Linked DNA regions of Arabidopsis thaliana. The protein of the gene in region 2 interacts with the protein of the main gene of each other region in a pairwise test. Each region holds a gene or a part of one and is shown on either strand. Other genes may lie near its edges.

Region 1 (3,759 bases), on a different chromosome or scaffold from region 2:
AACTCAAAAACCATCCAATCTTCACTCTTTTCAGGGATGCGATTTAGAACTCCACGAACCTACACACATATTTGCTCACTCTGTTTGAGAGTATGAGCCACGGTATGATCCCGACCTGCATTTTTACCCAACCAACACTCTCAATCAAGAACAAGCCCAAATAAATGGATTGAGAAGAAGGAACTTACCATTACATGGCCTGTCATGTGACCTCCTGTTCCCCAAGATAACAAAGTCCCTGTGAAACACACCACATTCATTTTTTTCCTATGTGTTATATACCATAAGCGAGCTTTAACCTGGTAAAAGTAAACTACTCACCAAACGGTTGAACAAGTTGCTTAGCGATAATGGCAATTGGAGTCCTCCAGAAGCACAATACCAAGATTAGGTATATCACAACCTAGAAACAAAGTTCTTAGCACATCTCGATTAAGGAGTTTTAGACGGAAAAAAAGAAGAAGCTTGAGCACACAAACTAAGCTACCTTCGAAGCAAGCAGACCCTTCCCATACATATCGTATGAAAGCTTGATTTCTTTGTGATGCTGCTCCAGATCTAAAATTTCAAAATGAGAATTAACAAATACACACACACACCAATACTACACCATGATGATGCAGTGCTTTAGTAGGAATATCTGCTACCAGATAGTATTCATGTTTAAAGCTAACTAACTGTTGCATCATATTTCTGAATTTCATGAACTCTACACTCACAAAGCAATCAATCATATTTCTGAATTTCATGATCTCTACACTCACTAAGCAATCAATCATATTTCTGAATTTCATGAACTCTACGCTCACTAAGCAATCAATGTAGAACTAATAATGTATGCATACTCACATTGTGCAAGTTCTTTCTCTTTAGTAGCTGCTGACCTCCTAAGTTTCGCTGCTTGCGCAAATGTGGCTGGCCTGCAAGTAAACAATAGATAAATCTCTAATCAACAACACTCATATATATATTTTTCAACAACTGCACCTTCCTTAACTCAAATCACTAGAACCAAAACAAAATGTGACAACAAAATGGCTTACTGAGACAATGCACTAGCCTCTCTCAAAAGCTGCTTAATTTCGGTTCGCAGCTCTGATTCCCTCGTGTTCTTCGACCCTTTCTGAAGAAATTCCATAATTCAAAACGATGATTCATGTGGATATGAAAAAAAGCCAAAAAGTATTATCTTTTTTACCTTCTTCAATTGGTCAAGCCACTTGGATAGCAATTGGAAGACAACGACGACGACGAAGGTCAGAGGAGCAGCCAAAAAGCCGCGATCTTCTATAAGCTTCTCTCCTTCCATTAACCCTTTTGCTGATTACTGATTCTAACGTAATTCACCAATCTGCTCGAACAATTCATAACTCAGTACCATTCAGATCAACAAAATAAAAGCCTTAATTGAATCCATCATGTTCTGGATAAACATATCATCTAATCAATGGAGGAGGAAAAGATTCTAGTGCATATAGAATGAGATCGTCGTGAGTATGATCGGAACTTACAATCTCCGTCGTGGATTCACAGAAATTTGAAGCCTTCAAGCCGAGGTTAACGTCTGAAATTGAACGAACGATGGGAATTTAGAATTGGCCTGAATCTGTAAAAGAGGAGGGTTCTGATTTTGATAAAACAAAAGTTTCTACTCGTTTCGTGAAATAAATAAAACTCAAGCCCTTATGTGTAAACAACAATAACTAAACCCTTTTTCAACAGGCTCTATTGGGCTTCGTTGAAATAAAGAAACGGCCCATTAAATTAAAACTAAACCGCTTGTTTATTTTCTTTAAAATTTCATTAAGCTTGGGTATACATGAGTACATGTGAAAAGAAACAACAACTAGGCTACAAGTTTCAGTCAACAGTAAAAGTATCCAAATTTAGAATGAATAGGATAAAAATAGATATAAATAGTAGAGATGTAGTAAAACTACAAAATGGAGGGTAAGAAATTAGAAATGTGAAAATTTAACAAACATAATGTATTCTTTTTACGTGGAGTGGTTGTAATGGTTTTACCAGAAATGGCACGCGTTGTCTCTAATCTTTCTCAACTAATCTAAAGACACTATATGTTTTGTCTCATCCGATCCCACTTAATTATGTTAATCATCTATCTAATTGGGGTTATCACCAAATCAGAGCATTATCGATAACATCGCAGATACCGAAGCTGAAAAAAGGAAGAAAAACAATGTAAGTCCAAATCCTAAACGTCGTAGCATCTTCAGCTTTCGTGTATGCATGCCATTATATTCCAATTACTTGACGACAAACTTTTGCTCCCACCACTTTTGATGTGCCTTTCAAACTTTGTATCCCCATTGTCCACTTCCTCTTTCTTTCAACCCGCTCCGTTTTGTAGCTATACTGTCTCACTTTTTTTCGTTGTTAGAGGTGTAACAATAAATTTACCAATTTAATCTAATATATCATTTCATTTGTAATGATATCAACATTCTTATCTAATATCAACAATCAAGAGTGATACATTATAAAGGCATTTGACATTTGTATATATTGGTGAATATATGTGAGATAAGTTTTGTACCTTGTGGACCAATTAATGTGGGGAGTTTGCAGAATCCGACTATGAAGTGAAACTCAAAATGCACACATGTGGTTTAGAATTGTATCAGAAAATTTTACATTATATGGGTGTTAAGAATTATATGTACTGCAATTATTATATATATCAAACACAACTAATATCTATTATATAAGATTATCACGATAGGAAATATATAAGTTTGCATCGGCTTTGCATTGAACACATATATTAATTGATACGTATATAGTATTCTACTTTTTTATAAATTAATCTTTTCGATCCCTAAATTAGTAAAAATATGATAATGTACATGCATGGATGTTTTCATTATGGGAAGGGAGCGTAGAGTAGCATTTTGATCGAGAGAAAACGAGGAGATCGAGAGAGAATGTCTTGTGTAAAAATGAGTGGTCTTTTTCACAATTATTTATCAATCAAAACACATCTCATACATATATGTTGATATCATTATTCCCTAGTCTATTGAACTCCATTTGTCTTTTTATCAATAGATAGGCCCACTTTTTATATACTTTTTCCTCCTTGCCAAATCATAAGAAGTTAAAACTTAAAAGTGGATCAACTAATTTATAGAAACCATTAACAACTTTTGACACTCTTCTTTAATGTGTGTTTCATTTTTAATTGAATGCCAATAATATAACTTTAAATTCCACTGAGAAGATTTGACGTAGAGACAAAGAAGTGGCTCCAATTCACCATCTCCCAAGCCACCAAAATCTCTCCTAAACCCTTTTGTCACTCCCTTTTCTCATATTCACTTTTTTTCCAAGGAATATTTAAAACCTCATGCAAGTTTTCTTGAATATAACAACATACGAATATGATCTTTGATTAGATTACTCTTTTATATATTATGGTTAGGCATGTCCTTGCAAGATTTTTGTATTTAACATATTGAAAATTTATCATTGAATTACAACTCTGTTATGCATACAATCAAATCAAACGTTTAAGAAGACCATCCCTTATATATATTTATATACACCCTATATTCTCGGGATGTAATAAAGTTTCCATTTCAAATAAAAAGAGCCCTTAAAGGGAGGTAAGTGGGGGGCATGAAAAAAGGGTTTATATATCTCAATAATCATCCAAACAAACCAATCCATGTGCTTCCCTTCAAACATTCTTCTTGTCATTTTCCTCCCAACCATTTTCTACTTTGGCCAACTTTTTTT
Region 2 (3,320 bases):
TCTTGGCGCGTTTTTTGGTCCCCAATAACTTCCTTTAATTCTTTCTTAGACCCGTTACGTTATCATTAACAACACTTTTTGTTTACTGATTCTAGAAAGATTACGGCAATTCTATTAGTCGAAATAAAACACTGCAATTAGATTAAAAAAAATCTCGGATAAAAAAACAAGTATGTTGCTTTGTTTGGAGCCCTGAACTCTGGCTCAAATGTTTAACGTGGTGTGTTTGTAACACTTTGATCCATTGACTATGAGTTATCGGAAAAGAAGATCTGTTGAACAAAAGGCAATTGATAGGTTTTTTAGGACTTGTGTTTTACCTTTTACGGATAAGATAAAATGAATTGATTATAAGAAGTTTGAAATACGAAGAAGACCGGCAAAGTAAAGAACTAAAGATAACCAAACAAATGGGGACAGGAACAAAACATCAACAATTATAACAACGCGTTTTTGACATTACTTCATTTTTAATTTATCAGAAAAGCGATGTATATGTTTAACTACACACACCTCTACCTTCTTCACGCGTTTTCTGCAATTTCTTTACTTTTTTGTTATTTAAAGACTACGATTGTCTTTTTTTCCACACTAATTCAATCTCTTTTTCATTTTAAATTAAATCTATATATACATTTTTGCAGTTATTTTGTGAAATAAATCCTATAGTTGAGACTTATTTACAATAGATATATACATTTTTTCAGTTATTTTGTGAAATAAATCTTATAGTTGAGACTTATTTACAATGGCTGCCATTAGCTTTTAATTATTGATTTTTTTCTATCAATAAATTAATTAACAAACTAAAAATATTCCAAATATATTCAGCAACTATTTAAAACAAAAAATGTTTGACAAACAAAAATATAATTGCAATCCCTTAAAATGAACAAAACACACCTAAATACATTCTTTATCTATCCAATAAATCTTTTTTCTCCAAAATTTGAACTAGATTTTGACAACTATTTAAAACAAATATTTGTTTGACAAACCAAAATACAATTGCAATCCCGTAAAATATTTATTTTCATTATATATTTAAATTAGCGGTGTACCGCGGTTTTTTTTACGGGACGGATTTGGCGAGACGGGTTTGATAGGACGTCACTTAATAACAATTGTAAACTATAAAATAAAAATAAATAGATTTAATTTGTAAACTTTTATATATACTAATTTAAAAAATAAGTTGTCCCCGCAGTATACCGCGGGTTAAAATCTAGTTGTACATATTTATCCTTCATTTATCATGGTTCATACACTTAAATGGATTCTGTAAATCACGGCTTTTTCTACGTTTAACTTGTATTAGGTGAGATCCTTTGGATCTTAATTCGTCATATAAAGATTATTCATTTAGAGATGTACATTTATAAGATTTAAGAACATAATATGTAAATAAGTATAGTGTTCAAATGTAAATATGTGTATATATTTTTGCTCAGTGTAAAATCTAATTTTTAAATGTGATTATTGTTGAATAGAAGAAGACTACAAATATTTTTAGAAAAGTCATGTTTCTCTATAAAATCGTTGTTTTCTTCTTTGTAACGTTCCATTTTAATTTACTTTCTCCAAAAAGTAAAGGATTAAAAATTAGATTCAACGGTTGTATAGGCGTGAAAAAGAAAAAATAATTTCCGGAAAAATATACTATTTAATAATTATAATAAATTCTCTCTCTCTCCTCTATAAAGACAAACAATCTCCAAGTTTCTCTGTATCAACAAAGCTCTGTTTCAAGCTCTCTGTTTCTCAGATCTTCTCTCTGTTTTTTTCTTCTCATAAAATAAGAGTTGTGATTCAACAGTTATGGTGAGAATATTCCTTCTCTACAATATACTAAATTCGTTTCTTCTCTCTTTAGTACCAAAGAAGCTACGAACTCTTTTCCCTCTTTCTTGGTTCGACAAAACTCTCCACAAGAACTCACCACCGTCTCCGTCAACGATGTTACCTTCTCCATCATCTTCTTCAGCGCCGACGAAAAGAATAGATCCGTCCGAGCTCAAACGCGTTTTCCAGATGTTCGACAAGAACGGTGACGGTCGAATCACAAAGGAAGAGCTCAACGACTCGCTTGAGAATCTTGGAATCTACATACCAGACAAAGATCTGACTCAAATGATCCACAAGATCGATGCTAACGGTGATGGATGCGTCGACATAGACGAGTTTGAGTCGCTGTACAGCTCGATTGTGGATGAGCATCACAACGATGGCGAAACAGAGGAAGAGGATATGAAAGATGCGTTTAACGTGTTTGACCAAGACGGAGATGGGTTTATCACTGTGGAGGAGTTGAAATCTGTGATGGCTTCCTTGGGACTCAAGCAAGGGAAGACCCTAGATGGTTGTAAGAAGATGATTATGCAAGTTGATGCAGATGGTGATGGTAGAGTCAATTACAAAGAGTTTCTTCAGATGATGAAAGGTGGTGGCTTTAGCAGCAGTAATTGATCTTTAACTAGGGTTTGATTTGACAGAAGAGAAGTGTGTTTATTCGATTGATTGGTTTGTTTTTCTTGTTTTTCCTCTGTAAATAAATTTTCTGATGACAAATCAAAACATCGTGTAATCGAGGAAGGTGTGTAATCTTTGTTTTTTAGGGTATCTCTGAGCTTATGTAAGATTCACCTTCTCATCTATTCTGATTGTTAAGTGTTCTTAAGTAGATTGTTAACTGTTTCCTATCAATATAGTATATTGCAGAACCAACCACATTCGTATCAATCTAAAGGCAAGAGTTAAATCCATGTCCTCTTCTACTCTATGGTTACAAAGTTCCTCACATTACATTCCATAAAATAAGATTCAAACCACATCTAGATTACACTTAAACCATTTACGATCGGGAAAGCTTCACCAATTCAAAGAATATACAGCCGCACACATCAATAGTTGGCTTAGATGGCATCTTGTTTACTTCGCAATAGCGCATGCTCTAGATGTTCGAACTCCTTCAAATTGTTCACTACATTCTCAACTTTCTTTGCTATCTGATTACTATGCTCTTCAACAATCTTTGCAAAAGCATCTAACTGTTCCTTGTACGCTGCACATAACCGCTTCTTGTTTCGCAGCTCTATCGTCAGTTCTTGAATTCTCTTATCCTTCTCGTCCTATAACAACATATAATTTACCAAAATGGTTTCATACATTTGTTGCTCAAAATACGTAATGTTACACTGCACAGGGACATAAGTTAAGTAAGTTAAGTACTCACCAGGGTATGGCGAGCCTCGCGAGGTGAAACAACGAGTGGATGGTTATGTTCTTTGACGAATTTGGTAATGACCCATTTGCCAGACCGG

The links. The genes of interacting proteins can lie anywhere in the genome.
Region 1: the proteins of MSS3 (region 2) and AT4G16444 interact in a protein complementation assay, tested with the Arabidopsis thaliana proteins (one large-scale study listed by BioGRID).

Annotation. Positions count from the first base shown.
Region 1 is NC_003075.7:9,274,748-9,278,506, forward strand, and holds the start of AT4G16444 (tail-anchored protein insertion receptor WRB-like protein), read right to left. Parts: upstream 1,701-3,759; 5' UTR 1,512-1,700; intron 1,352-1,511; 5' UTR 1,310-1,351; coding exon 1,199-1,309; intron 1,124-1,198; coding exon 1,044-1,123; intron 921-1,043; coding exon 850-920; intron 559-849; coding exon 488-558; intron 404-487; coding exon 322-403; intron 239-321; coding exon 189-238; intron 116-188; coding exon 44-115; 3' UTR 1-43.
Region 2 is NC_003071.7:17,990,454-17,993,773, reverse strand, and holds MSS3 (Calcium-binding EF-hand family protein), read left to right. Parts: upstream 1-1,726; 5' UTR 1,727-1,818; coding exon 1,819-2,466; 3' UTR 2,467-2,722; downstream 2,723-3,320. Other genes in the region: AT2G43280 (Far-red impaired responsive (FAR1) family protein), read right to left, coding at 2,913-3,128, 3,233-3,320. UniProt on the Arabidopsis thaliana protein: Potential calcium sensor.